Linked DNA regions of Mus musculus. The protein of the gene in region 1 binds, or shares a complex with, the protein of each later gene. Links are inferred from orthologs where the notes say so. Each region holds a gene or a part of one and is shown in the gene's direction. Other genes may lie near its edges. The genes, in order: Grm5 and Homer1.

Region 1 (16,130 bases):
GTTTATTTCATAAGTTCTAAATTCATCTTAGAGTGTTAAGTTAGTCTCAAAGATATTGCCAACGTAATTTAAACACTCTCATGTAAGAATGCATGCCAGAATTTGGCTGGCTCCTGCCATCAGCTGTTACTGTTTTCTCCCCTATAGCTTAAAGAAGGTAAGTTTTATAGAACATAGTATCCATTGAGAAGACAGCTTAGGTATAGGGTTGCCAAGTTTAGTAAATTAAAACACACAGTACCCAGTTAGATGTGAATTTCAGGAAGACAACACTCTCTTTACAAAACAACAACAACAACAGCAGCAGCAACAACAACAACAACAAAAGGAAGCATATTCCATGAGTCTTTTGTAATACTGGCAACATTTATATAAAGAAAAATTATTAAAATTTAGCAAGGATCCCTTTTTTTCTGGAAATCTTTCTGTAACAAGTCCTAAAGCTATAAGAATCTGTAACTTTATCTTTTTTTCAAATTAAGTGTGTGTTTGTGTGTGTGTGTGTGTGTGTGTGTGTGTGTGCATGTGTGTACAGCTGTATCTCCCTTAATAACGTTTTACTTTGTGTTTTGACACAGAGTCTTTCACTGAACATGGAGCGCAATGGTTATGCTATCTGTACAGAGGATCCTCTCGTTGCTTCCCCAGTTCTAAGATTACAAATGTTTATTATAGGGCTTCACATTTTGTCACTTTAGGTTCTGGGGATCTGAACTCATATCTTCATGCTTGTGCAGCAAGAACTTTTCTGACTGAACCATGGCCATGAAATCATGTTTTTAATGAGGAAACAATTTTGTCACTAGCAATGACAAAATATAAACCCATTCATTCTATTATCAACTATTAGAGTTGAGCAAAATCTTATATATTTATATCAATATTTATGTATATATTAAGCTCAAGTCCTTTAAATTTTATTTCTTAGTAGGTCTTAATATCAGTTTTTTTCATGAATGCATCAAAGGAAAGGATATTGACTCATGTAGTTATTCAGTAAAGACTTATCATGTGTTTAATATGTGAACTTATTACATGTGTGTAATATGTGAGAGTTCTACCACATGTTTCCTAGTGATTGATGGTAATGTAGCAGAAAAACAGGCGTTTAGCGAGGAAAATTACCACCTTCTGATGGAAACAATATCCAGTCATCAGAACATGAAAACCTGTGATTACAGAAAATTGCATAACTTCAAAGCATATATGTCTAAGATGTATTTCAGGGTAAAAAGAATCACAGCACAAGCGAGAGAGACATTAAAAAATTATATGAAGATGATTCTCAGTGCCTCCTGTTATGCACATACTTAACTGGTTCCAAATGAAACTAGGTATTTCTAATATGTGATGCACAAAATGATCAAACAATAGAAGTAGGTTAAAGTTTGGAGGAGTAATGATAGATCTGAAAAAAATTAAGGGTTCAATATTTACACAAAAATTAAAAACATAAAATACATTAAGTTTTCTAGAGAACATTCATGATTATATTTCTTCTATTATTTGATGAAGGGGAGCTAAGCTTGGAAGGTTTTGAGTAAAAATTAGAATCAATTAAAGTTTATCAAGTTAATCCTGGCGTAGCACAGCTTCTGTTTCCAACACATTCTGTTTCTTACTAAGTCTTCTTTTGGTCCACGTATCTCAGACTCCATGGAACAACAACAACAAAAAATATAGAGTTACCTATTTCACCAAAGGAATCAAGACAAGGTTATTATACTCTTCTATATAATTACTTACCTATCTCCAGTTCTATTCAAATATTATAAATACTGAATTTGTACTAAAATTTTATCATTTCTCTTTTTCTACTCCTGTATTGCAAAATATGTATTTGTCATCAAATTTAAATGTATTGCAGTTGCAGGCAATATTCTTTGGCATGGTGTAGAAATGGGGGTAAGATTCTAATTCCAAGATTTTGAAAATAAGTGATGAGAAAAATTTCAGTTTTTATATTACTTAATAGACTCATGAAAACAGTCACTATGGAAACCAGACATGAGTCCATAAAACACCAAGAGATCAGAAGGGAGGTCTTGAGCTGAGAATTTGAGTCTTACATTTAAATATTGACATAGGTGTTAGTTTAGCCCTTGCATTCCTAAAATTAAATGATTAAATTTCTTTTTGATTACACAGCTAAGGTTAATAATTTTGACAAAATTCTATGCTGTGATGGTTTCCCATTTTTTTCCCTCTGTCTTTGCATCTGACACTGATTCTCTTTCCTTCTCCCTCCCTCCTTTATTTCTTTCCTCCTTTCCCTTGCCTCTTTTTCTCCTCCCTCCCCTTCCTTTCTCTCACCCCTTCTCCCACCTTTAATACATTTTATTTATACCCCATCTTTAAACTGTTTATCATTTTCTATGGGAAGAAATAAATTCTAGTGACATTTTTGGACAAATAAGAGAATTTTGAGGAAAATATCCTCAGGTTGTTTCATTCTGAGAATGTTCCTTAACAATAAGAAAATACTATAGTACATTGAGATCTAAGATGAGGACAATAAATGTAAAATAGATTACTTCTTAAATACTCCAACTAGTTAACTGAACAGTGTTTATAGTTCTCATTTATTTTGAAGACCTACTTATATTTACAAAACAAGAGTTATATAGAAAATAAGCAGTTAGGTATATATCTATAAGTTCAGTAAAAGCATTTGTTGTTTGACTTTCTGATTCTCAAATGATTGAAGAAGAGAATCTCATGTCTAGTATCTTAGCCACGCCAATGTCTACACTCGTTTCTTACCATTGCCATCACCAAATACTATGTGCCTGCTGCTTTGAGGAGCTGTACAATGTTTTCTTCTCTATTATTTTTAACAATAGCAGCACCTTCAACACATGTGCTATCAGAGAAACAAAACAAGAAATTTCTGTTACATATAAAAACACAATTCAAAAGGAATTATCTTTTGTTACTTTATGATCTCAATAAAATAACAGCATTTTTCAAATCTGTGTATTCATGAAGTGTTGTATTGGAATGATAGAGTCAAATTATGGAGGAAGATGAGGGGAAGATGTCAATTTACTGAGAATGAAAAACTTCTGGATTGTAAAGTGTACTCATATATAGTCTCCAAAATAGAGTTTTAGAAATTCTCTTTCACATTTTTTGTTTGTTTATAGACAATGGTTAGAATTTAAGGTTTCAAGAATTTGTCAAAGACCTACACTGAAGAACTCGAGATTCAGTTTTCAGAAGTCAGTCTAGTTGATTGTATTCAGGAGGATAGTCTAGTACATGCTTTGCACTCACGCGTGTGCGTGCGAGTACATGCATGTGTGTGTGTGTGTGTGTGTGTGTGTGTGTGTGTGTATGTGTAGAAGGGAGTGCAGAGAGTAACTGCATTGATATACACTCCTGCACCCGGGCTTTCAGAATCTATTGGCATAAGAGATGTTAAGACTGACCAAGAACCATGCAATGAGAAGTATCTCTCTGTATTTGTTGTGTGTCAAGAGTTTTGCTAGGACAGGGCTTTATTAGAGAAAACACAGACTAAACTTGCAGTGATCGCCATGTACTGAAATATTAATACTCCATCTCATTTACTCTGTATTTGGAATAAAATCAGAAATTTAGAAAGCCATGCACTGTTTTTCTTGTCAGATGAGCAATAAGTGACTGGACTTAGAAACACTTTGTGTTAAAATCCCATGCTATGCCTGGATTTTGCATTGAAATTCTTTGGTAAATGACTTATTATGAAAATCTCTCTAGTTCTGCTGTACAATCTTCTATGAAGATGCCAAATTATAAAACTAACAAGAATTAAGTCTGTATGTTGATTGAAAAGTCACTTGTTTATTATTCATTGTGACAATAACAATAGTTTTTAAAAATGTTTAGCACTATCATAGCTTCTTTGGCAACTGAGAAACGTGATACCACAGGCAGTTGTGTCTAAGCTGGGATAGAGACTATCACACAATTATTCCCCAGACTTTTTTCAAATATTTATGGGGTTTATTACCAGCATTCACAATTTGAACAATAAATGACACATAGAAGGCATCATTCTTTTTAGTATTAATTTAAATATTTAAAATAACAATTGACTGTCCACTATTTGCTAGAACTTTACTTGCAATGTGTTATGTAAAATATTTCCTTAAAATATTTCATTTTAATAAGAAAGATGGACAACAAAAAATGATCATAACTATTATTGAATTAGACTTTATTTTAGACTAAGTCAACAATGACAAAGGGGAAAATCGTTGAGTTAAGGACACTGAGGCACTGAGATTTTGAACACAGCCAACAAGATTAAACTCCAGGAAGTAAGATTTTTACTAACAATTGCAGGAGAGCAAAGTGTTACCCTAGTGACCACTTATAAACAACAGTCATTAGAAAAAAACAGGACAGTGCAAAGGGTGAGACAAAGCTACCGTTTTAAATATCAATGAGCAATTTAAGAACATCTAATGATGTTTCTCTTCTCTGAACATACTGCTATTGATAAGCCTAAAGTTCCATTTGCATGTCAACTTTTATAGAACAGGAAGTGAATAAAGCTCGCTAAGCCACATGTGAGACTTACGGGCAGCTTTGTCTTTCTGATGCTTTGGGATAGCATCTTCTTCATTAGCCTTGGTGAGAGGAGAGAATGAAATATGTGCAGGTATTTGGAAACATCTCATATCTATTAATATTATTTAGGTACTTTGCATGTAATCTACAAATTCTGTTTTAAGTTGGACTAAACATGGACAATATGGCCATATATGCCCTTTATGAGCCACTTCCTTTGAGGAAACAAAGATTCTCTAAGTTCTTCAGTCATTTTTTCACAAAAGGACCTAAATCAAAACTGGAATCAACCTAGTACAGAAAATTTCATGTTGGACAAACGGACATTTTAAACTCTAGAAAAAGAGAGGAGAATAAATTCACATATTGTACTTCAAGTATCTAAAAATGTCTTTAGACATGGAAAAATGAAAATGAATACCTTTAAGAAGATCTACTTTTTAACTTTTAAAATAACACAAGGTATTAGACATCATTAATCAGTTTTCAAACAAAGTGTGTTTTAGCAGATTCCCACCCTCTTCTTTTTTGCTTACTTCCCACTCCCTCTGATACTCTACCCCCTTTCTTCATTTTCATAGCAAATGTGCCCTTTGATCTCTTCTTCCTTTAGTACCCCTTTTCCCTTCTTTTGGTTTCCTTTCTAGTAATTTTGTGGGGGTGATGCTGATTGTATTTTAAAGATCAGTCCACATTTACAGATATTTTCACATGCACACATTACAAGCTAGGATCTGCACATGAGAAAGACCACACTGGCTTTGTCTTCCTGGGTTTAGACCACCTAACTTAATGCTATACACTTGAGGCTGATCATTTTTTTCCCTGTAAACTTCATAATTTCAGTTTTCTTTCCAGCTGAATAAAAGTTTTATATGTATATATAACATCGTTGCCCATTCATCTGTTGGTGGACCTGGAGTCTGGTTCTAATGTGTTGCTGTAAATGGGCTATAATACACACATATGGGCAAATGTCTTTTAATGCTTGACATAGTGTTTTAAATGGATACTTCCCTTCTTCCGTTCCTTACTATTATATCACCGAAGTAATCAAAGAAACACTACCTTGTTGTCAAGGACCCACTGACAAACATTAGTAGTTATTAATAACTGGTGTCCTTGACTTCAGTGTTGTGCATGTTTTAATCATTAATTCAGCTACTGAAAGTACCTGGCTCCTTTAATTTGCTCAGGCAATAATAATATTACCCAATTATTCTTTTGTTTAAATTAAGCCATGCAAGTAATTTATAGGGATCCCTTTTATTCTTTTTCTTTCAGATATAATGTGAAGGTAACCTTAGCATTTTTGATGTCCATAGACAGTACTAGGGGTATCAAAGAAAAGGATGCCAAGCAATTGGAAGAAGTAAAACATTTAAGTCCCACAGGGAAAGACTTTTAATGGATGTAGGAAGAAACATTTTTAAGAAGTGCAGACAAATGCAAAATGACATTATTAATGACTCAAGACCATTAAATACATTGGTCTTTCTAATCACTCGGGCTTCTGAACCGTACTTGCAGTTCTCTGAATCTCATTCTCTCTCTCTCTCTCTCTCTCTCTCTCTCTCTCTCTCTCTCTCTCTCTGTGTGTGTGTGTGTGTGTGTGTGTAAGTACAGTCTGTGTCACTCTCTCTCTCTTCTCTCTGTGTCTCTCAGTCTTGTGTTTGTCTCTCTGTTTCTTCCTACTCCTCTCTCTGTCTTCCAGCAATAATACCCCTTCTCCCAATAACTGTCAGGAGTTTCGTACTATCTTCAGAGAGAAGCTGATTATCTACCTGCTCTCCAGCTTCTCTCTGAGTGACATGCCACCCACGCCTCCCAGCACAGCTCCTGCTTCTCCATCTCTGGGTGGGAATGAGGTAGTGAGGAAGTCCAAGACTGCCCTGGCCTGAACCCTGAGACCAAGAGGCTCTAGGAGCAGTGTTCACTCACTGATCCAAGGCTAGCCAGCCGCCCCCAATTGCACTCTGCAAGAGTAGGAGCCAACCCAGCGTTGCGCTTCCAGCTGCGTCTGCCCGGGCGCAGCACGTGCTCCAGGCGCTGGCGCGAGAGAGCGAGCGCCACCACCGCGGGCCCGCAGCCGTTCTGCTGGCTGCCACTACAGCTTAGATCGCAGCCACTAGCGCTTCTGCAGCAGCCAAGGCCGCTACGAAAGCGCAGGGAGCTTGAAAGGAGCGGCTGTCCAGAGGAGCAAGGCTCAGGGAGCGCACCTGGTAAGCATAGCGCTGTTTTTCTTTCTCTCAGCTGTGGAGTTACCAGGGATGTAGGATGCCGCCGGAGCCCCTCCCCCAGTGCAGGGATGGAGAGTGAGCGAGCAAGGGGCGGGTGCTTGGACTAAAGGGACCCAGAAGGGCAGGTGGTGGGCAGGTGGACGACAGGTGAAGCCAGGGATACTAGAAGGTCCTGCAAGTTTAAGAAAGTCACCCCGCAAGGACATGTGCTCTATAAATTAGACATGAATTTAGAGTCAGGAGCCTGGGCTAATGTGGTATGGCTAAATGGGAGGTTTTTGAATATCTTTTTGTTTTCATTCACCTAACTGAAGGATTTCAGTGGGGTTGTTTCCACAGAAAATAGCTAAAATAATCAGTGGCAGAAAAAAATAAATAAAACCAATAAAGCCCCCCCCCCTTCTGTCTCATGCTGGTACATGTGCAATGATAAAGCATGCACTTAGCGAGGGAGGAGAATTTTAGATCTCTGAGGATATTAGATGTTTGGGCTGTAGTAAGCACACTTGCTGATGCTGCACCCCAAAAATGAGACAGGGAAGAAGATTATGGATGGTTTTAAATACTGTATTACAATTCTAAAATGACATTTGAATGACTATAACACCAGGACCAAGAGATTCTCTGGAATCATTAACCCATTTATGAGATGTATCAGCACGTCTGGACCCTTAAAGCTAAGATTATATATTTCTAGCAGTGAAAGGAAGATTTTTTTTAACCTTAAATTTTCTGACAGAACTTTCATAAAGGATGATAATGAAGAACATGGAGATCAAGAGGAAAGAGAGGGGAGTTGAACAGACTCCATGAGCTATGTGTGGTAGTATAGCAAGGAGAGTTGGGTCTGTCAGATTTGGTACCAATGTTCATTCAGTCACACCCTGAGAAGCCCTTAGGCCATTGTCTAGGAAAATATGTGACCTTGAACAAGACTACCAAGCATTGTACACTTATTCTCTCCATCAGGAAAGTGGAAAGCATACTGCATTTTAGGACACTGAAGTCTCACAAAATAGTGTGTGTTTGTATAAGCTTGAAGAATTGTACAGGGAAAGAGGGAAGGGAGATATCCGGAAATACAGGCAAATAGATTGTAAAGATGTTCTCTCTCCAAGTATTTTAACAGCTGTAACGTTCACAGTGCCATTGGATAATGCATGCTGGTTCTATGAAAGGTCTATGGGAAAGGTTGAGTCCAGCCAAACATTCAGGCCCATGCAAAGATTATGGAGTTTTGACAGTTGTTTGGAAAATTTCAAATGCACAAAACTTAAAGTTACATTTTGCTTATTTGCTTGTTTGTTTATTTTATTGTCTAGCGAAGTAGCATTTGAAAAACATATTTTGGTGATAGGTTGTGAAGTTTTGGGGTTTGTTTGTTTGCTTTTATTTAACTTAAGCTTTGAGAAGTTACCTGGGCTTGATTATGGTAAAGAAAATCACATCCTAGTTTCAAGGTTTGTCACTGTGTGGCAAATGAGGATTTTGGAATGAGACAGGAATGTTCTGTAATATGAGTAGAAGGCTTAGGGAGGGAAGAGAAAAGCGATATTTCTCTTAGAGCATGCATGTCTATAGCCCAGTGGGCAGCAGGCAGCTGGCACATACCATGTTGATTCCTCTTCTACTTGACTGGAGAAGTCATCTCTAGCCCTTTTCTGTCAATGCATATTCATTTATAGAATTTGGAGATTTGCATTGCAGATGCTGAGATGGTATGCATTCATAAACTCATCTCCCTGGGTGTCTTCAGCTCCCCCCATCCTGAATGTCTGGCCATGAAACTAGTGTACCCATCCTGATCTGCCCAGGAGTCTGTGTTCCTAAAGGAACTCACTGTGCCACTTGGTGGCACCAAAAAGTTGCGCAGAGAAGTCTCTTCTCTATAAATACTAACTACCACCCCTCCCTCCTCCGCTCTCTCCCCTTCTCCCCTTCCCCCTGTCTCCATAGAGGGGAAGATTGCTGTACATGCCGCCCTCAGCTCCGCTGTTCTGAGCACTCCGAGCACAGGGGATGAGCTTGGGATCATCTTGGGGTTGGGGAAAAGCCCAAGAAAGGAAAAGCTGGCTCAACCCCATTGATTTCTGCTGCCCAACTTTACTCCGGGGGGCTAGCTAAACAGCATCTCACTGCCTGCTGCGTGGCCAACAGGGGGTAAGCTTGCTATGTCTGTGTGCCCAGGTATCTATCCCCAGACCTGTCAAGGATTTAGAAGCTTTAAGCATGCTGATAAGCTCACAGTGTGGTTTGGAGGAGGGGACTTAGATGAATCCGGGGTGGCCAGAGCAGAAGAGGTTCACATCTGCTTCTTTTACAGAAGACCATTATTAATTAAACCTGTTGGTGGAAAAGGCGCGAGCAAGAGGGTAAAGCAGGGGGAGGTATGCAAGGTCTAAGATAGGGATTATGCACGCCTTTGGATCCCCGTGTCTGAGCTCTGAGGAAAGGAGAACATGGTTTAGAATGCAGACTGGCTTACCCAGTCCTTTGGAGAACTCAAAACTGAGAAAGCAAAGGTAGAGAAGGGAAGGAAGGAGAATCACTTCTGGGTAATAGATTGGTTTCTCCTCTGCCTGGGGCGGGGTGGGGTGGGGGTACAGCGTTTGGTGCTGAAAGCACAGCTTGGGATTTATTGTTTCTATCTCAATGTCCTTTGAACGCCCCCAACCCCTAGCGCAACTTCGTGCGCTTTCTTTTTCCTTGGATATAGCTTTCCCTTCCTTCCAGACACAAAGCTACCCAGGGGCAGCAGATCAGAGCGCAGAAGAGGGATCCCAGGCTACAGGGACTTGGAGACAAGGAACCAGGAAAGTTCTACCAAGCAAACTCTAGTTGATGTTTACAGTAGCCTAATCTATTTTGGGACATTTCAGCAGGAAGTAATGGTTGACCTGGGTGATTACCCACCTAGTTGTAGGATGTATGGCTGTTCGTATTTCTCTTTAGAGTGCATGGTGTGGGAAAAGTGACTTTGAGAAAGTGATAACAGATTCTTGTTTTTATTTAGTCAGAATCCTGGAACTGTTTCACCTGAATTAGCTTGGGTATCCAAACAAGTAGGTAGTGCTATGCATCAATTTATTTCTTCATAAGAAATTGGTATTCACAAATGGAAAGGTGGACTCACCTTTCTTTCTTCCTTTCAATATCCAACTTTATATTTTATTGTTTAAATTGCTTAAGAAGTGAACTAGTGATCTCCTGTATTTCTAGTTCTGGTAGCAAATTGGTGCCTATAACAACAGTCTAGTGAGAATGCTTAGCACTAAGGGCACCCCTTCATCCAGCAAAGATTTATTCTGAGTTATTTGACACCTTATTATGAGTTTCAGAGGATATAGGTGTGCTATTTTTTTCTTGTTGTGAGTGCTTTGTGCTCTTCTCTTATGGAGTGGAGGGAATTTCCTCCATTAATTTCTCTGTTAATTCTGTGTAATACATATTAAATTGTCAGTTAGTAATCTTTTTGTCATTTGTGGAACTTTCCATTTTGAAGGATTGTTGGTTTAGAAATAGAAAACTTTGCTTGCCAAACTCACTAGGTTAATGACTTGCATTCTACCAAGTCTGCATCCTTCTCCTGGAAACTTCTTCAGCACCTTGGACAGGTACTCATACTATTCCCTAGGCTTCACTGGACACTTACTGAGCAACAAACCACCACTTAGATAAAAGACTTTTCCTCGTCCTTTACACTTTATGATTAAATGTAAAATTCATGTATTTCAACTGCATCTTCTAGAGCTCCATGATGTTCCATAGCAGTGTTTTACCTGTGGGTTTTATGCCCAAAAAGGACAGAGGAAATCCAAAGAACAAAAAAGAAAAAAGAAAATGAAAATTTAATGTCTATTTATTATAGGCACTCTGAGGTTATTTGGATAAGAATGATATTTGAACACCCCATGTACTTGCTTAAATCTTAACCTGTTATCAAATGTATACACAGACCTTTACCATTGTACACATCATAGCCATTCAGACTGATATCCAGGGAACACTGAAAAATTCAGTAATAGATATTTATCCACGTAAAGAATATCTATGATTTGAGAATACTTGGGTAAGGAGACACCATTTTCTTTCTTTTTTCTGAACTGTTATTTTGTCATGTTTCCTACTAAATTAATTGGCTTCACTAAAAATGTTTACATTTGTGAGTAAATAACTTTCATGATTCTTATTTTATTCAAAATGCATTGAGAATTTTTCAAGGAATGTTGCTATATTGACTTTTTGAAGAATGTTGGGACTATTTATGCATTTAGAAATGGTAAATTAAAACTGAGGATGGCGATGTATAACTTAAATCTCAGCACTTGAAAGGTTGAGGCAGGAAACACAAAAGTTCACAGTAATCCTTAGTTATGTAGGAAGTTAAATGAGGCCCTGTAACAAAAAGATGAAGAAAAATTAAATGATAGAAGAAGATGAACACTAATCAGAAAAAATGAGATTGAATAAATTGTAAATATGTACATAATTGTATTACTTGAGTAAAATATGTATGCATGTTTTATTCAAGGTTTGCTACATTCATGGAATGAAGAGGCATATTTCTTTATACATTTTTGCTATTGGATATATGGACACATATATGGACTTAGACATTTGTGTATGTACCATTTTCTTCACACTATTTAAATACATCCAGCTGAATCTAACTTTGTGAAAAAATGATGATTCTTTTGATATATGTTTTTGAGAACATGACAGTGTATTACATAGAAGTGTCCTTGATTTGGAATTATTTGTTTGGAAATATTAATTCTGATGCTAAGGCATCTCTTTATGTCCTTTCTTGTTGTGTACGTAGAAGACACACAAGAAGGGAACATCCAAAGAAGTGGTTTTATTTCATACTCAAATGACCTAAGAATGTAACATTTTGACTTTGATTTTTCAACTGTTTACAAATCAGAAAATGCTTTCTTGATATTTTCTCATTTCATTTGAATGAAAGGGTTTAAATACAAAAACATGCCAAGATTTGTCTCCATGGCTCCAGTATTAATGCAGAGGAGACATAAGTGTATACTTTAATGCTAATAATATTGTTTGAAATGCACTCACACAGAGAAACAAACACAAATGCATCTATGTTTGGCGATAGGGCTTCCAATAAAAGTTTTGTAGTAGGTCAATGCTTGCCAGGGCAAGTATTATTTATTGAGCATGTTAGGGATTGTATCAAGTACTAGATGTATTACATTGCTAATCATCAAATGAGTCACATGATATACTGGTTTTAATTTTTTTTGTTGTAAAAAGTGAAGTTTTTCTTTCATTGTTATAACATGAAAATGGTACCAAGAAACAACCCCCAGAACACATACATATGCTGTGTGTTATAAAATTGTCAGTATGAATAGAACATACCCTGTTTCTATAGCATCAGTCTATAATGCAGATATTTGTGGAGGCTCTTTTATGATTGTTCTCAGTCTGTTGTGGTTTGCAGTGTATTTTATTAGTGAATATTTGGCACCAGATTGCATGAATGTGGATCTCACCTTTAGTTGAGTATGTGAATTTGTAAACAGAATTAAATCATGTATATGATTTATATATATTTCATTATATATTATTATATAAACAAATACCCAACTTTTCTTGTTTGTAGTGGATGAGGAAAGTTAGAATGATATTAATACAACCAAGTGAGTATGGGAAATTAATTGCTCCAATTGGAGTAACTTCCCTGACCTGTTAGTGATGAATACATAAAAGTAATTTATGGCAATTTGTTGTCTGCACGACATTGGATATAAAATGCTGCCTGAGTTATTAACTTTCTCAATAGTCACATGAATTTCTCTCTCTCTCTCTCTCTCTCTCTCTCTCTCTCTCTCTCTCTCTCTCTCTCTCTCTCTGTCTCTCTCTCTCTGTCTCTCTCTCTCTCTGTCTCTCTCTGTCTCTCTCTGTCTCTCTCTCTCTCTCTCTCTCTCTCTCTTGCTCTTTCTAATTTTTTTATTGTTAACAGCTGTTATACGGTGAAGTGGACTACATAACTTGTCTAAAGTCTCACTGTTCCTACCACCCCAAAGCACAAGTGTAAACCCAGGGATATTTGGCTCCCAAATTCTAGCTTTTGGCACGAATATTATCTTGTAACTTGAACATATAGAGTAAGCTGTATTTTTTCTCTTTTTAAATTTCTTTCTTTTATTAAATATTTTCTTCATTTACATTTCAAATGCTATCCGGAAAGTTCCCTATACCCTCCCTCCACCCTGCTTCCCAACCCACCCACTCTGGCTTCCTGGCCCTGGCATTTCCCTCTACTGTGGCATATGATCTTCGTAAGACCAAGGGCCTGTCCTCCCATTGATGGCCGACTAGGCCATCCTCTCCTACATATGCAACTAGAGACATAAGCTCTAGGGAGTACTGGCTAGTTCACATTAATTTTTTTTTTAATTCTACTAATTTTGAGTCAGCACCATCTCCTTCCACAAGGGAGTGTCCAAATTTTTTTTTCTAAAACATTTTAGAATATTCAAAATTAGATATGCAAATTTGTGAGAAAATCAGAAATCAAAATGGTACATAATTACAGTTTCAAACATTTTCTTTTTTTAGACAAACTCTTCAAGAAAGTTAAAGGGAAGAATCAGAAGCAAGAAGTATATTTTAAATAGACATGATTTTGCTGTCATTACAAAATGTCAGCTATTGAAAATTTCTTTAATGGATATTTGTCACAGTAGTTTTGAATGAAGGTTATGTATGTTAAACTTTTTAGCTTAAGTATTTTAATGAAAAAATATTATCACAATAACACTAATGTGCATCATATCTATACGATACACATCATGTTACTTTATTTATTTATTTATTTATGTATTTATTTATTTATGGTCTTTTTATTAGATATTTTCTTTATATACATTTCAAATGCTATCCTGAAAATTCTCTATACCCTCCCCACCCCGCCCTGCTCCCCTACCCACCCACTCCCACTTCTTGGCCCTGGCATTCCCTTGTACTGGAGCATATAAAGTTTGCAATACCAAGGGGCCTCTCTTCCCAGTAATGGTTGACTAGGACATCTTCTGCTACATATGCATCTAGAGATATGAGCTCTGGGGGTACTGGTTAGTTCATATTGTTGTTCCACATATAGGGTTGCAGACCCCTTCAGCTCCTGGTGCTTTCTCTAGCTTCTCCATTGGGGGCCCTGTGTTCTATCTTATAGGATGACTGTGAGCATCCACTTCTGTATTTGCTAGGCAATGGCATAGCCTCATATGAGACAGCTATACCAGGGTCCCTTCAGCAAAATCTTGCTGGCATATGCAATAGTGTCTGGGTTTGGTGGATGATTATGGGATGGATCCCTGGGTGGGGTAGTCTATGGATAGTCCATCCTTTCGTCTTAGCTCCAAACTTTGTCTCTGTAACTCCTTTCATGGGTATTTTGCTCCCTATTCTAAGGAGGAATGAAGTATCCACCCATTGGTCTTCCCTCTTCTTGATTTTCTTGTGTTTTGTAAATTGTATCTTGTGTGTTCTATGTTTCTGGGCTAATATCCACTTATCAGTGAATGCATATCTAATTACTTCTTTTGTGACTGGGTTATTTTATAATGATAAAAATAAGTTTAAGACCAATCTGTCTTAATGTAACATTACTCTTTAGGAGTAAGTAAATAATACATTATTACTGACTTTAAAAATTAAATGATATTTTGAAAATAATATATATATAATATATATATTGAATAAAATTTGCTATTCTAATCAAGTCAAAATGAATTTTATAACTAGAATGAAGAAGTATTTAATATAGCAAATATTGCCTATGTTAGTCTCACATTCTTTTATTGTAATTTGTGGATATCCAGAGCCATGTTAAGCGAATGTAAAAAGAAACCATTCATTGTGTCAGTTAAAATTTTGTCTCCAAAATGAAGTAACATTCTCAGCAACAAGATCACACATAAACGTGTAACAAAGTGAGAAAAGGACACACACCCTAACTTAACCTCCTTCATCTCATTTGGAAGTTACAGAGAAAAGCTGAATGAAAATGAATACAAAGGACAGCCCTTAGCTGTCCTTTCTGTTATGAGTGATGTGGAAAATACTTTGAGGACTTTCACTTATATCATTGGTTTTCAAACTGGAAATGCTTCTTTCCTGCCAAGGGCATTCAGTGCTGCCTAGAGGTACATTTCGCTTCATAAATAAAAAATTGTGTTACCAGTCGTTTGGCTCAGTAGACATAGAACTGTGACACTGTTTAATATCCTCCAATAGACAAGACAGTATCTTGCTACAACAATATTACCTAATCCTAAATGACAACCATAATTCCACTGTGTTTTTTTAAAGTGATCTTTCTAAATAATTCAGGCAAGCAAAATTAACAATATGATTTATTTAATGTAGTTTCTAATGGATAGACTTAAGGCAAACAATTAATGGAAAGCTCAGTCTCTAGAATGATGTGTTGTCGTTATTTGAACTCTAAATAACCAAACCATTAGGTTCTTCACAAGGCACTGCCACTTGTTTATAAGAAGTGTGGACATCACAGACAGTTTACTTGTTTTGGATATGTTCTACATTATTTAAATGCTTGTAAGTTTCCATAGTGAGAGGTATTAATGTAGTTAGTAATTATAATACTTTCTAGGGTTTTTGCAAGGTTTATGTGAAGTAACATTTATATGTTTTCATACATACAATAAATAAAGCAATTAGTGAGTAAATGCAGATCAAGTTATAAAAATGCCAAATATGTGTTCAAATATCTGATGGCTAATACTCTAACAGGAATAATAATTCTTTGCAATCGCTAGAGATATGCCATAAATTTAAAGAAAGCATCTGGGGGCTATAAAATGGTTAAAGCTTAAAATCTCTGCTTGATAATTAAATTGAGACAAGTTAGAAGTGTTTTTTTCCCCCTGCTTTGTTGGAAAAGGCAGTTTCATGTCTTTGTGGACTACTAAACCACTTGTTAAAATGATTTACAATGATTTAGTGAGCTCCAGTGTACAGCTAGCACTTTTTAGCTAATGCATAATATTGCAGATTTCATCTTTGTGTGGTGCCATTTATGGCTTTGGGAGGATTAAAATATGGCCTATTCTTTGTCTTCAGCTAAGCAAAGAGGATGCTATTCTCTGTTGTTTACAAGGTCACAGATGTAAGCGTCAGATACTGATGAAAGAGAGCTTTCCCACATTGCATGGGTCTCAATACCATTATCCTACTGAGTGTTTCTTATCTATATATGCAGTTGTTTCTATAAATAAAATTTACCAAAGGCAAACTGTACATGCAATATTGACACCCTGTTTGTGATGAGACTATGGC
Region 2 (16,130 bases), on another chromosome or scaffold:
CCCAGGCAGCCTTCTCTGGGTCTAGGTTCCAGCCATTGTTCTTTTCCTGACCTTTCAGCATAGAAAGGGTGGTCTATCTTGCTGGGCCAGGTCCTGCTCTCTCTCCTTTTTCCCATCTATCCCACCTTTGTAAAGGGTACTATCCTTATTAAATGCCCCTCAAAGTACCCAATTTAAATGTTCTGGTTGCTGAGTCCTCAGCCTCCCTAATTTTTCTGAGCTATGTATGACCACTCTTTTAAATCCATGGTCTAGTTACTCCAGATTATGTTGTTTCTCTAACTGAACGAGGAACCTGATACAATTAATTTCTGCTTAAGGACAGCAGAAAATGATAGTTCATTCAACATGGAACAACTTGCTGATCACTCACTATATGATAGACATTGCCTTGCAGTGGTCTCTGAAAAGGTTCCTAAGAGGTAGATGTGTGTATTGTGTGTGCTATATGTGTTGCGTGTGTTTCTGGATGTCCATGCCCATATATGTGAACATGGAGGACAGAGACTGACATGAAGTACCTTCTCTTATCTCTCCCCATGTTTAAAAAAATATTAAATTTATGCATATGGGTATTCTTTCTGGATGTATATTCATGTGTGTACCCAGTGCTTGCAGAGGTCAGAAGAGGGTTGGATCCCCTGGAACTAGTTATAAATGGTTGAAAGCTGCCATGTGGGCACTGGAAATTGAACCTGAGTCCTCTGGAAGAGCAGTTAGTGCTCTTAACTACTGAGCCTCTAGCACCAACCTTATTTGTTTGAGGCGGTGCCAATCATTTAACCTGTTGGATAGAGTATCTGGCCAGTGAGTCTCTGACCCCTTCGTCTCCACTTCCCAGTCTAGGATTATTGGGGCACACTGCATGCTGGGTATCCACACTCAGGCCCCCATGCTTTGCAGTCAGCTCTTTACTGCGGAGACATCTCCCAGCCCTGTCTCTCATCTTCTGAGGAGTGAGTGTCTCTTCATTTCATTTGCCCATGTATTGACTGGACCACTTGTTTCTTTGTCTATTTTTCAATAGGTCTTTACACATTCCAGATATTAAGTTCCTATGAGACAGACAACGGGCAAAGATCTTCTCCTAGGCTGCCTCTTCACCCTGTTTCCCTGCCGTGCAGGTTTTCAAGCTCATGCAATTCCATTTATCAATTATTTGCTATTATTTCCTGAGCTGTTAAAGCTCTCTTTGGCAAGCCCCTGGCTGTGCCTGCATCCTGAAGTGACTTCCTCTGGCTGCTGCAGCTTCAGGCTTTACATTATGGCCTTTAACACTTTTTGAATTTATTTTTATACAAGGAATGTAGCTTCGTTGTTCTACAAGTGGATATCCAGTTTTCCCAGAACCATTTGCTAAGGAGGCTGTCTTTTCTCTAACCAATGTGTGTTTTTGGCAATTCTGTCTAAAACGAGTCTAAAACTGTGTAGATTTACTCTGGGGCCCCCTATTTTATTCCATTGGTCCATGTGTTGTTTTTGATCCAATACTGTGTTTCTTTTATGAGTATGGTTCTGCAGTATAACATAAAATTCAGTATTTTGATACCTCCAACGTTGACTTTTTCCCCCAGAATTGCTTTGGTTATTTGGTGTCTTTTGAGCTTCCTTATGAAATGTGGGGTTGCCTTTTAGTTCCATGAAGAATGTCTTTGCCTTTTTTTTGGTGGTGGTGGGGTTGCATTAGATGTTCAGAACAGCTACTTTCACAATGTTAATTCTGCAACTCTGCAAGCGAAGGGGTCTTTTCAGTGTCATTTACCTGTTTTGTTTTGTTTTTTTTTTTCTTCAATGTTTTAAAGGTTTCACTGTGAGATTGGAGAGATGACTGTGGGTAAGAGTGCTTGCTGTGATTGCAGTGAGTCCAGGACAGATTTCCAGGATCCATGTAAGAGCTGGGATGCTAGTCATGCCTGTATGCCCAGTGCTGGGAGGCAGAGATAGTCAGATAATGAGCCAAAATGATGAGCTTCAGGTTCAGTGAGATTGACCGTCCTCCCCAAACACACACTCAGGTTCTGTATGATAGCTTTCCTGCACACACAAACACACATGTACACTCTGGTTCAATGAGCTAGCCTCCTCACCCATACAAAAATGTACACTCAGGTTCAGTGAGATAGCCTCCCCACCCACACAAAAATGCACACTTAGGTTCAGTGAGATAGCCTCCCTGCACGCACACACACACACACACACACACACACACACACACACACACACACATGCACACTCAGGTTGGTTCAGTCTCTGCTCTCACACACAAATGTACACTCCCAACCTACACTTGTGTGCATATGCCACACATTTAATACACAAACACATAAAAATATAAAAACGATGACAGGGTTTTGGTATCATTAGTTTGGTTTAGTCCTAGTTATTTTTATCAATATGTGGTTTGCTTGTTCAAAAGGCACTGACCCCTCTGCTGAGCTGCAAGATACTTAAGTTTGTTCAGCCCCAACACACTGACACAGGGATGGACTACTGCTTATCTAAGCTAGTCATGAAAATCCTATCCCCAGTCACCAGTGTACAGGGATGGCTATGCAATCTAGTCTTGACTATGAAGACATGAAAGAGCACTGGGGTGGGGAGGCAGCGCAGAAGATTGTTTTCCCTAAAGAGTAGGAGAAAAGGAGGAACGCGTGTCACCTCCTCCTCTTTTTCTTTCTTTAGGTGCTCTTTGTCTGAATAGGAAGTCCAGAAATATAATGATCAGACAAATATGAGATAGCAAATCAGATTTAAAGACAGCAAGGTGAAGGGGTAGAAGGGACGCTGGTAACACCTTGGACCTTTAGAATCAACTGCAGGACGACCCACCCCTAAACCTCCCGCTACGCAAACAAGTAAAGACAAACACAGTATGCATCTAGCTCTCACCATTATTTGGACTTTCTGTTCCTTGCCATTGAAAACAAACTAACCCACACAGTGGGAAGTGGTATTAAAGGTAGCTGAGGAAAAGAGGGGCCGTAATCATGTGGGGGCAATCATCTTAGGGTAAGATAGGAAATCTGGGTTTCCTTCAATGTGACGTCAGCAGATACTTGATCAATATAGGAAAATACTTTTTTTATCAAACGTAAAATATGATAAAAATATAGTTCATTATTAAAATAATAGATGTTGTGAGGGTCAAGTTAGATGTAAACATGATGAGGTTAAAGGACACACAGATAACTAGTAAATCCTTGTGGGTAGGAATGTCTAAGGCATATATAAAGAGACTCACATTTAAACCAGTGGTCTTACTAATAATGTATCTACTCTCACCAGGCACCATCAAATCTGTGGACAGTCTTGTTTGTTTGTTTGTTTGTTTGTTTGTTTTTCGAGACAGGGTTTCTCTGTGTAGCCCTGGCTGTCCTGGAACTCACTTTGTAGACCAGGCTGGCCTCAATCTCAGAAATCCGCCTGCCTCTGCCTCCCGAGTGCTGGGATTAAAGGCATGCGCCACCACGCCCAGCTCTGTGGACAGTCTTGATTAGAACAAAAAGACAACAGGCAATGTTTTTTTTTTTTTTCCCACTGGAATCTAGACAATCATCCCCTGCCCTGAGACATCAGAATCACAGGTTTTCAGGGTTCTAAATCTGGCCTAAGAAAGACACTATTGGCTTCTCTGGTTCTTGGGTCTTTTAGGCTAAAGATGAATCATTATGCCAGCTCCTTGGTTCTCCAATGTGCAGATTGGGACTTTTTGCTTTCCATAAACTGTGAGCACCAAATCTTACAATAAATCTGTCATCTGTCTCTCATCTGTCTGTCTGTCTGTGTGTATATGTCATAGTGGTCTGCTTCTGTAGAGAACACTAATTCTAATGTAACCTTTAGAGCCATTATGATCTGAACCAGATTAAAATACATAAAAGCCTCATAAATAACTCATGAAACGTTACAGCTAAAACCTTCCAATGCTGAGGCTTTTTTCCGACCGCTTATACTGGAGAGAAATTTAACAGACTTTAGGTATTGTTTCTGTCAGCTCCAGGCATGTCCGAGACGTTACCAATTATGCGCAGCTTCAGCCTCATTTCTCTGGAAAGAAGGCAATTTCCTTTTACAAGCTTGCCTGTCCTGAATGCCTTGGGTGCTGTTTTTATACTTGCTGGCACCAAGAGTCACAAAATGAGGTAGCTCATCTAAAATATTTTCCTCATGGTTGTTCTGTTTCCCCATTCAGGAAAAAGATTATTGGTTACTATGGCAATCAGCTTCCGCAGCATTCCATTCTAAGGAACCACACAGGTGCAGCTTTACCCCCATTCTTTCCTGTAGTTCTCTGAGGACTGCCTGCTTTCCCAGCCCGTTCTCTGTGACTGCTGCTTGAAATGCCAACAAAACAAAGTTAAGCCAGATAATTTTTGAAAGGTACTATATCCCCCGAACGTTAAAAAATACAAATAGACTGCACATTGATTTCCTGATTGGAGGATTATTATTATTACTATTATTATCATCCCTCTAGTCTATTCAGGCCCTCGACAGGACCTGACTGGAAACCTTCCGGAGTTTTCCTTTAGAAGCCTAGGACTGTATTTTACTTTTCTAACAATACTTGGAATATCAGCAATGAGATTACAATAAAAACCAAAGCAGGAGAGTGCCATGACGTCATTTCTCATGTTCTATAGCCGTTTTCCTGTGGATAACTCTTCAATATCTCTTCCTCTACAACTCACAAACGATTCTGTTTAAGAGGAAAAAAAGTATCATGTATGGATGTTCTCAGATGAGGAAATCTGTCTGGAAGACTTAGACTTGAGAAGCCAAACACCTACATTCCCACTCTTGAGATTGTGTTTTTCCTTTTTAATTGAAATTCATTTGAAAAGACTTTTCTGCCACCTCATTTCTGCTGAGATGAAGACTGTAATAATAATGAAAGATGCCTTTATCCAAGCCAACTCAAGTAAATGATGGCCTGTGTGTGCTAAACCTTAGAGCATGTGCAATGAGATTTTTAGCACCCACTAGAAATTGTTTTCTACGGTTTCATTCTTTTCTTATTACTTTTAGTCTTCGCTGGTTATTTAGTTTCTTATACATTTTTTTTTGTCATAAGCTTGTGGGATTTCTATTGCAGGGGAGCTATCTATCCAGTATTTCTGCTTATGACTTTATTTGAAGTGACAGTGGCATTATCTAATGTAAGTCAATTAAAAATAAAACCTGGCTTTAACTCTCTTTTCTGCATTTTTTTTCTAGCTCATGAATGACTTTTCATTGAAAAAGACCCATTTCATGACACATCTATGAACATCCATTGGAGACTACCATCTCCTGCTAAGGGCATGGAAATAAACCCAAAACTGAAACAGATGTCTTCGCCCACAGATTCTAAAATCAGAGGGTATTCATAAACCGCCCCATAAATTTGAGAGCATACTGGAAAAGAGGAACTGTTAAAAACTGAAATGCTGCTGAAGTTCTTTCTTCCTCTTCCGGTGAGAGAAATCCACTCCTTTCTAGGAAGTTCAGTACTTTAAAACAACAGAAGGAAATTAGAGTTGGAATTTATGGTATGACAGCTCATTTTAGCAGAAAAGATATCTATTGATGGATAAAAAGCCATATAATGGTTCTCCGACTCCTGTCGGAAGTGTACTAGAAATGTTTCAAAGTAGGGTAATAGGAAGGGCATTTATTTTCCCTAGGACATCTCTCATATTATGTTTCTAGGTTTTACTTAAACCTTTGGCAACACAGCTACTTCCTGATATGTGAATCCCACACAAATGGGGAAAGAATAAAACTTGGCCAATTGTTGCTAGAATAAGATGCTGAAATGACCACTTAGGCTTTGAGTAATTACATCACAGTGAACAGTCAGATGTATGTACAAAAAGTTGCTCTTTCAGCTGGCAAGAGGCAGCTGAGAAGACACCACACCCTGTGACAAACAGAAACCGAGCAAAGGACTTTAAAGAAACTCTAAAGGCACCGAAGCAGCTCACAGACTGTCTTGGCAGGTGGGTAAAAATCAGTTTGATAAAGAACACAAATGGGAGGAGGCTACAATCATAGGCTTGAATGTGTTTGAAAATGGTCACATAAGTGTTAGTTAACACAGTAAGAAAGACCCAGAAATAGAGAATAAGGGTAGGTGAGTAGTTTTTTAAAGTTTTTCTTTTTTTCATTTTAGAGAGTAATAACACATTGCATTTGTACTTTGCAAGGATCATAAGATGACATTATTTGAAAAATAACAGTGTCATTGTTTTTGTATTTTATATTTAAGTAAAAATTTGTCTGAAATATAACTTAGTATCAGTTCTATCAGTACAATGGTATATTAGCCGATTTGGAAAGCAGATATTTGCTTTTCATTAATCTTCCATTACAACACTAAAACAAAACCAGACCCTGAGTTACCACTCAGGTGTGAAGACCAGAGTTTAGATCCCTACCATCCACATAAGCCCTGAGTGGGGTTGGCTGTCCACCTGTAGCTCCTGCACTGGGAAGGCAGAGACTGGATGTGAGCCCTGAGTGGGGTGGCCATCCACCTCTATCTCCTGTACTAGGAAGCCAGAGACTGGATGCCCAGAGTAAGCTGGTCAGTTGGATTAGCCCTCCTGATAAGATGAGTTTGGTTGAGAGAGAGAGAGAGAGAGAGACCCTCCCTCCATCCATCAATAAGGTGGACAGCAATCAAGGAAGACTCCTCACGTTAAACCTGATTTCCATTCTATCGTGTACACATGTTCCAGCACATGCACACACACATGCATACACACATGTGGGAAAAAAAAGGAAAAAAAAAACTCCTCTCAGTCTTTTTAATATTTCAAATTTAAAGCAAGATCATAACTTTATAATGTTCAGGTAAATGATCAGGCAGTCTGATTAGTTATAAATTAGCCCTAACACTTTGCCAAACTCAAGCAAGAAAATGTCAATGGAAAAAAAAAGCAAAATTGTTGTTCCTTAATTAAAAAAATCATGTGTTAACATTAAAAACATGTATTAAAAACCACATATAGCAGGCAAGCAAGGGACATTCTTGTAACTGCATTGCTTAGGAGGGATTAGGGAAGAGAGCCCAGGTGTTCAAGATCTTAATCAAACAAGGCAAAACAAAACCCACCACTCCTGGCATGATCTATAGAATTTTAGCTGACTTTCTTTTGAACTGCATTGGCATTGATGTACTATTCTTCTAAGGACAATTTAATGATTTTGTAATAATATCATGTCCTGGATTTCTCGGGTCACTTCAGGTTTTGAATGAAGTGAGTTTCATGTTTCATGTCAAATGAGTTTAGTTTGTAAAATGTGGTCACTGACTCTTTGGAGTAACTGAAGTACTAATGGCCTTTAGCAGGGTGCAGCACTTCTATTTCTGAACCACAATTGTCAAGTTAAATGGAATAAAAGCAAAACTCATTCTGTGAGTCTAACCAATAAAAGGCCCTTAACAACACAGGGCCATTTTAAAACTTCATGACTTTAAAAACACAATTTCACATATGCAGCTATAAATTTATAGACGGCTAGTCATCCTTGCCACATTAAAAAAAATGAAAATATACTCGAGAGCTATTGTGCTTACAAGATTCAAAATAATCAGGAACCCAAACGTATGTTTGTGTTAATAAAGTAGGACTTTGTTTCCAGACTGTAATTCATATCCTTGGTAAGTCAGACCTAAGGTGATTCGTTGGCACTTGCGATGCTGTAGAAGGGTAATTATCTGAGGGAACTAAGTTTACTTTAATGAATTTGACTCATTATGCCTTGCAGAACCATGGCTATGCAGCGAACTGCAACATTTAGAACATTTGGAAATCTCATTCTGCTTTAATTACTATCCTTTGTAACAAGAGGTTTGCTCCTAACTCTACTCTTTTTTTTTTTTTTTTTTTTTTTTTTTAAGTTAAAACGCACGCCTTTAGGAGGGGAGAAAGCTTAAAAGTTGACTATGTTCAGAATGGTATTTAGGATTCCTAAAATTAACGGTGGTTTTCCCCGAGTCTACCAGCAGTGATCACTCTCCCTCCCACGATTCCCTGCAGGTTGGGATGTGAACAGCCCGGGGATGCTGCTGCAAACCCAGTGGGAGAGGGAGACAGGACTTTACCGGCGACACTTCGGCACTGTTGCTATGAGTGATTCATTCGCATATGGCACATTTGTGCCAAGGAAACCTCCTCCCGCCGCTTCCTTCTCCGAGCTCTCCTCAGACTGTCTCCGGCGCCTTGGCCTTTAAGGAGAAGCGAGAGAACCGGGAGCAGGTGGGCCCGGAGCAGCTCGCTCAGCCCGCCTCCCCCAGCTCTTTCCCTAATTTAGCAGTACTTCCGGCCGCGTGACATCATCCCCCGCACAAGCTGACGTGAGCGGAGGGTGACGTATGTGCGGAGAGGAGCGCGCTGACGTTGCTATTTAAAGGTCCTTCTGCGGGGAGGATGGAGACACAGCGCGAGCACCCGGCGTGCGGAGCGGACGAGGCCGTGGCGGCCCAGAGCCAGCGCAGGAGCCGAGCGCACTGCCCGTCCGCCGCCGGCCGCTAGGGGAGGGGAAGGAAAAAGGGACGGACCGACGGACCGGCCAGCTCATCCCCTCCGGTGTTGTTCCTCAGCGCCCCGGTCCGAGCCCGGGCCCCGCCTCCGCCGCGCCCCACCTCCTCCGCCGGCCTGCGGCGGCGGCAGCGCTCCGCCCCTCGAGCCGGGAGGGCCGCGCTCTCCGCCCCGCCCCGCCCCGCCCCGCCCCCTCTCCTGCTCCGCTGCCGTGCTCGTCTCACGCCGGCGGCGCGGACCGGGAAGCGGCGCCCTCGGCTGCGCTCGGTTCGGAGCCCGCTCCGTGGAGTCAGAGGCAGCGACGGGCGCCAGGCCGCCCGGGCCGACGGAGTCAGCCGCTGAGGGGAGTGTAAGGAGGCAGCGGCAGCCCCGGGAATGTGAGGCGGCGCGGAGCGGGAGAGACGAGCCGGGGTGGGGGCACGAGCCGCGGCTGCCGTGCCTCGGACGAGCCGCCAGCCTCTCGCCTCAGCGCGCGGCCGCCGGGAGCTTGGGGGCTGGGTGCAGGGGACCGCGCGGGGTTGGGTTCTCTGATTCATTCATTCTCCGCCGTCGGGAGCCCGAGGCCGCGGGTGCTGCGAGGAGAGGCGGGAAGAGGGGGCGGCCGCGAGCGGGGCTCCATTGTGCTCGGCGGGGGCCGGGAAGCCAAAGGAGGTGGGCTCGGGCCCCTGCGCTGCTCCCCGGCGGCTGCGCCCCCAGCTAGCTGCCAGCCTGGAAATGGCTCCGCTGCTGCTCCTCGGGAAAACGAATCGATCCTTCCCAGCCTTCTCTGCCTGCTCTCCACCTCCTCTCTGCTCCGAGTCTTAGGAGGACGAACATTCAAAGGACAGATTCCAATGTGGTGTGCCGTGCACATCGGGAGCGGCTGGGGTTTGCACTTCGAGATTTCTTCTATATAATTTTTTTTTTTAAACGTAAGGGAGGCAGTAGCATTGCTGCCTGTAGGATTTTTATTCAAGTGCACGTCGCGTTGGGTTGCACGCTCCACCCCCAGGGACCTGGTGTGGTGAAATTTGAACCCACCGCCTTAGCCCAAAAAGGCCGAGTAACCTGGCTGCCTGAGTGTCGTGGAAGACGTGAGCGAAATGACCAGCGAACTCATTTTTTATCAGACTTGCTGAAGCTGGCTTTTGCGTTTTTTCTACACGTACGCTTAATTTTGTGGAATAGTTAAGTGCTATATTCTCCGCGCAACCTTTTCAAATTCCAAATGTTTGAACATTTTGGTGTCAGCGCGAGTGAAATCATTTTACCGACAAGAACTAACTGAATTGTCTGCCTTGTTGAGTTGCCTCCGGAAAAGATCTCGGGGGTGGAAAAGCAACTGCAAAATAACAGACGGAGAAAATTCCTTGGAAGTTATTTCTGTAGCATAAGAGCAGAAACTTCAGAGCAAGTTTTCATTGGGCAAAATGGGGTAAGGATTTTGTGCTTATCACAGCTTTAAATCTGCTTATGCTTGTGTGGAGTTGAACGGTGGTGGTGACCATATTTTTAAATCCGATCCCTTGCAAAACGGGTACTACTTTAAATTAGAGATTTTATTTGCATTATTGTAGAGCGACACCAGAGGTCCTAATTAGAATGTGTAATGTTTGTAACTCAGTTATAGTTTTATTAATTATATATATATAAAGACAGTGCACTAGTCTACCCTGTACCTCTTAATTGATCAAACTGCTATATAGGTTACTAAAATTTTGCCATCTTAGGTTTGGTTGACGGTGTTGTTCAAAGAGAAGAGCTGCATTCTTCCAGTACTTTGTAGAAATAATCAGCTGTTACAAAGAGAGAATTGTAATGAGTAGTTAGACTCCAGTCCTTGAAACTGACCCTTTGTAAGTTGGTGCCCTGGCAGTGCCCTCTGTTTTATCCTTGAACATCCGAAACCAAATGTACAGCTTGGTTTATTGGGCATTAAACGAAAATCGCAGTGTTTCGATGTCCACGGTGTGGGTGCTGGAGAGACAAAGCTGTTGGTTGAAGGGACTTGTTCACTTTTTCTGTTTGCCTCAGACCTTTAGCTGGTGCCAGCGGTGTCAGATTTACATCTTCAGCATAGCCAAAAGCCGGTCTAGAGTGCATTTCCAAACTTTTCATTCTAAAGACTACAGCTTAATAAAATGCTAGGAGTTCTTTAGTTAAGCTGGGAACATGTGTTATGGAGTGGTGATCTATTCATTTCTTTAGTGGATTGTCAGTGCTTTCTCTGCGGTCCAACTAACACCGATAAATAAGTAGTTGAGGAACAAGGTTGGCAATGATGGATTTTGAAATTTCATTGTGATAGCTTAGGAACACACATTTTATAAAGTTCTTGAATAGTTGCTTTTTGTCCTGACAATTAAAATTTGAAGTCTGTTAGCTTATACAACTTTGAAAATGTAGACACGTGTCATAGCAGTTCTTCCTCAGGAATTAATTATGAGTAGATAATTATTTTAATACTTAAATAATAAGTGCTAAGAATGTAATTAAAATACCTTATTCTATTTCTGGTTCTGCTATTAGTAGCATAGTGACCCTCAGCAAATTACTTAACCTTTACGGGCAGTGCCCTCGTCGGTAAAAAAAGGAGCATAAGAGTTTTCCAACCTGTAAAAATGATTTTTTTTCTCTCTCCCCTCATTTAATGGTCAGCAGTTGATTTTTTTTCTTCTAATCTGTATAAGTACTTAAGCTAGGAAATGAAGGTGTTAGAAAATGTTCTGGTCAGTTGCACCAATTTTTAAATGAGAAAATACTAAAAAATTAATATTGGTAACACTTGAAGTATGCCTTCCCTTGGTTATATGCAGCCTCACAGTTTAAAATGTGGTTTTTTAAAGCCACGTTGGAGTGTCACGTGCACTCTCACCTACACACAAAATCAAGTGGCAGTTTTTCACCAAGAATGCTTCATTCTTCAGACTGGAGTAGCATCATCAAAGAAGAGAATCCGTTTTCTGCATCTCTTACATTACATGAATACTCATTGTTGTACCAAGTGAAGAGTGAGATTAATACTAAAGGAGACTACTATTTGAAATATGAAATTAAGCTATCTACATGAAATACATTTAGATACTCAGCATAATGTGTTTATAAACAAATCACTTGCCTTTTTGTTAAAATTATATTTTTAGGGCTCAGGTGTAAAGAGCACTTATTCAAGAGGATTTAGGGTTGATTCCCAGCACCCAGGGATCGATACCCTCTTCTGATCGCTGCTGGCACCAAGCTTGCAAGTGGTGCACATACATACATGAAGGCAAAACACCAGTACACATAGATTAAAATTTAAAGGATGAATAAAATAAAAAATTAAAAATGACATGTAAAATAAGGCTGTAATAGAATTCTGCCTGGTGAGTGATGTAATTTGAATTTGCCCCTCCAAAACTCAGTGCCAAAACTTCATGGCCAATAGCTGAGTATTAAGAGATCTAGAAAGAAGGGCTGAAGAGACAGCTCAGCAGTTAAGGGCACTTGCTCTTATTTTCCTCAGGTCTGTACTTGGGAACGTGACACCTTCTTATTGAGGGTGGCTTGGTTTACCTGCATTGTTGAAAGAGGAAGGGTAGGTGGAGAAAGAAGAACATACCATACAGCAAAGGCATTTACAGACATCTCCACCCTTTGTAAGTGCATAAGCACACAGCCATCTGGGCCTCTTTGAAGCATAAGTTAATATTATGTGACCTTTAAAGTTTCCCAGGCAGTCCTTAAATTACCTTACTTGGCTAAATATCCAAAATTTCACGTGGATAAGGAAATTTATATATTACAGATGGACTATAATAGAATTTACATTTACCTTAATTAAAGTTATAATTAGGGAGTAAAGAAATTATTTTTCAAACCAAAATAAATGATTAGGTAGAAAAAATGACTCCTGTAATACTAGTTTATGAACTCTCTGGAAAAGGAAAAGAACAGCTGAAACCAACAGTTGGCAGAGTCTGTCAAAGTTGCACCAGCAGTTTTAACTGGAGTGAGGTCAACTGAAGTCTGGGTGTGTAAAAAGTGTACCAGGCCCCTTACAAATAAAGATAATTGCATATGTAATATGAAACCTCCAGAAGCTTCAGCGTCTCCCGAGACGTGCCTGTTAGGTAATATATCCTAATGCGGCCGTGAGTCTGGCGCTCTGTCGGGCACTTGAGAGGGCAACATATACCAAGTCACTTCAACCAGTTATTTTGTGCTACTTTGTTTTTACTTAGCTTAATAATGCCTGTTTCTATTAAGAGGTAGTTATGTTTAAAATGGAAGTTTTCCCTACAAAAGGATGTTGAGATTTTTGTTTGTTTTTCTGCTATCTATCTGTCTTTGCAAACTTTGAGCCCTTCCTCTTGCCTTAAAGCATGGAACTGGGTGCTGCTACGTTATTACCTGGAGTCTCATTTTGCTTATGGCAGGGGTGGTAGCAAAAATGTGGAAATGTTGATCCACCATCACAATAGGCGTGCACTTTGTAAAGGCAGCCCAACAACGTAAGTACAAGTCCTTAGTTCTTTCTTAATTTTACCAAACTTTCAGCACCAGTTATGTGTCATAGACTCAGCTGAGTGTTATTGAACAGTCAGTAAAATGCGCTTCTTCCCTAATGGAGTTTATAGCTTAGAACTGGGGATCATGGTTAAAGTAAGGTGTGAAATGTTGAAAGCAGTAAAAGTGGGCATTTGTGAGGCCCACGGTATATTTGTATGAGGGGATATTTGCTGCTATTTGAAGGATAAAAAGACTTTGGAGTAGGTGATATTAAATACTAAAAGGTGAGTACAAGTAGGCCTTGTGGACAAATTAGAGGGCATTTAGGTAGAATAGTGATTGACAGCACCACTCCATAAAAGCTTTGCTTGTGTGGGCTCCTTTTATATAGAAGAGCGAGTCCCCAGAACTTTGTCCAGGGCCAGGCTAGAGCTTTGTAGGCCAGTAAAAGACTGGGTTATACTATAGACTGGTGTTTAAACTTAAAGAGACATGACCTAGCCTTGTATGGCATGCTCTATAAACCTAGTCCTTGGAAAAATGAGGCAGGAGAAGACCAGCCTAGGCTATAGAAAGAGCTTGTTTTTTGTTTTGTTTTATTGTTTGTTTGTTTTTAAAACCAGATAATAAAAATATGATCCATTGGCAGCATACATTTTTATGCTGTGACCTAGTATTCATATTTAAATATAAAATGACATAAAATATTATTCTTACTTTATGTGATTGCAGTCTGATAGTTTCTACTTAATTATATTCCATTTCATTTTCAAGAAGAAATGGTAGTGAAGACCCATTAATTGGTATTAACAAACCTGTGGCTCCAACTGGCAATTTAGAAAAACATTGTTCTTGGAGGTATGGGAGGAATCAATCAATATGAGACGATAAGCAATCAAAGCACTAACAAGAAGGATCAGAGAAGTAGTGAGAAAAGGCTAAGCTAATTCAGATTTGTATGTTGTGTCCTGTAGAAACAACAAGCTAAAACAGTGACTCTGACTGGGCAATGGAAATGGAAGTGACAGGCCCTGGGACATCTCAGTGTACAGAGGGAGAGACAGAGAAATAAATGTGTAGCTGGACTTTAGAACTAGAAGTTCCCAAGTACAGAGTTAGAAATGTTGGGAACTGCATGGTGTGCTCAGATAAGAGGCCTCATCACTTAGGAGAGCCGTGAAACACTGAGGTGGAGAGGTGGCAGAGAAACTGTCCTTACACTTAGTTGCTGACAGTCAGGATAAAAAGCATTCACATTTCAAAAGATCAAATCTCTGTTCTGCATTGAGCTTTCTTTCAGTCTTAGATATTGCTAACTGAATAGAAGGCCAGGAAAGTGAATCCCAAATATTTACTATTATCTGGTACCCTCCATTCCTATTTTAAGGCTTAAATCACGGTTTTAAGTAGCTCTAGTACGTTTAGTTAGGACCTGTCTAGTTAAATGTAATGTGCAGGTTTTTGTCTGTGTTGCTTGTGTTTAATACACTCAGTGGAGACGATGCATTTTGCAAAATGCATTACGTTTGTAAAAGAAGTAAGATTTTCCTGGAGATCAGAAACTTTTATTTTTTTTTAACTGATTAATTTTGAAGAATTATAAGAATTCAAATTAACTACAGAAAATTTTGTGTGTAACAAGGAACTTTTAGGTAGCTTTAAGTCCATGTATGAGAACTGGGAAAAAAAAAATCAGATTTTTTTTTTTTACTTGAGACGTAGGGTCTTGCTAAGTAATTCAGATTGGCCTCCAGCTTTGCTCTTACTGCTTAAGTTCCCAGAATAGGTGTGTACCACCACACTCCATAGAACTTTAACCCTTTCTGAATAGGAGTATACTTAAAATTTCAGCAACAAAACCCCATTCACTGTGTATAAATAAAATTGTGTGTCTAGACTCTTTCTTTTAGGTCCAAAAAAAAAAAAAACCATCTTAAAAATAACAACACATTCTTTATCTGGACACCTTCCTTCTTTCCTCCTTCTTTCCCACTCTCTTCCCCTTCTCCACCCCCAACCTGCCCTACTTTTGAAAGGTTTATCTTGTACCCAGGTGGTCTAGAACTTGTGATCCATAGCTTCCTCAGTCCTTGAGTGTTGGGGGTGAGCAACCACACTCAGCTTCAATTTATGTTCTTAATTGTTAACACATCATACATATTGATAGTCTTCCCTTACAATTGTAAAGCTAGCATGTTGGCCGTTTTGTGTCCCTAAGTAAAGAAGGAGAAAGGGGAAAGGAAAAAAAAAACCCCAAAACTAAATTAATCCTTGCTCTTTGTTTGTTAAAAGACATTTATGAGTAATTGACATGCATATCTTTGTACTATTTTGACTTTTTTCTCTACTTTTATTTTTTTGTCTTGCTTTTATAGTTTCAAAAAAGCTATAATGGATCTTAAGTCCATTATGGCTTTTGTAAAGCTAAAGTACTTTTTAACTGAATTTCATTTATACTTAGTTATCTTTTCTACTTTTAAGGTAGACTGACCAAATATTTTTCTCATTTTTAAATTAGAAAATAAAATTGTTCATGAAAATAAAAAAATGTCTAGTCAAAGTTTTATAGTAATGGTTTACTTGTGCAGTTTTTCTAGCTCTAGAGAAATCATGTTAATCTCTTTAAAACCTAATATTATCAAACGTTAACTCTACCCTGGGGGTATGTTGCTTTTTTTCTTTTTAAGTGAATGTGTGTGTCTAGAGAGGGGTGTGTTGGCATGTGTGTAGGAAGCGGCATGCGCAGGAATGCTTATGGAGGCCTGAAATTGACATCAGCGTCTTCCTCACTACTCTCCATCTTAGATTGCAGCAGGGTCTCTTCCTGAATATGGGGCTCACTGTTTTTTGGCTAGTCTAGCCAGCATGCTTTAGGGAGGCCCTGTCTCCATGTCCCTTCCCTCGTTCTGGAATTACCCCACCCACCTGGGTTTTATGTGGGTTCTGGGGATCCAAACATCACACCCGGCTTCACAGTTGCTGGGTAAACCATGGAAGCATCTTTCTAGCTCTGGATATTTTCTTTCAGTGTTCTATAAAACATGAAGAGCTCTTCCTTATTGTCTTTGAAATGAAAGGGTTACTAACAAGTTCTAAGGGTTGTAAGAATTGACGACTTTTTGTAAAACTACC

The links.
Region 2: the proteins of Grm5 (region 1) and Homer1 are in contact, whole or in part, in a crystal structure (PDB 1DDV), measured with the Rattus norvegicus proteins. The link is inferred for Mus musculus from reciprocal best matches to the Homo sapiens genes GRM5 and HOMER1. Residues at the interface, in XP_006229721.1 of Rattus norvegicus: Thr1155, Pro1156, Pro1157, Phe1160; in NP_113895.1 of Rattus norvegicus: His12, Phe14, Trp24, Thr70, Ser71, Gln72, Lys73, Phe74, Gly89, Phe90.

What each region holds. Positions count from the first base shown.
Region 1 is NC_000073.6:87,577,762-87,593,891, forward strand, and holds the start of Grm5 (metabotropic glutamate receptor 5 isoform b precursor), read left to right. Parts: upstream 1-6,406; 5' UTR 6,407-6,779; intron 6,780-8,753; exon of another isoform or gene 8,754-8,957; intron 8,958-16,130. UniProt on the Homo sapiens protein: G-protein coupled receptor for glutamate. Ligand binding causes a conformation change that triggers signaling via guanine nucleotide-binding proteins (G proteins) and modulates the activity of down-stream effectors.
Region 2 is NC_000079.6:93,295,361-93,311,490, forward strand, and holds the start of Homer1 (homer protein homolog 1), read left to right. Parts: upstream 1-8,396; 5' UTR 8,397-9,937; coding exon 9,938-9,942; intron 9,943-12,673; exon of another isoform or gene 12,674-12,947; coding exon of another isoform or gene 12,948-13,000; intron 13,001-16,130. UniProt on the Homo sapiens protein: Postsynaptic density scaffolding protein. Binds and cross-links cytoplasmic regions of GRM1, GRM5, ITPR1, DNM3, RYR1, RYR2, SHANK1 and SHANK3.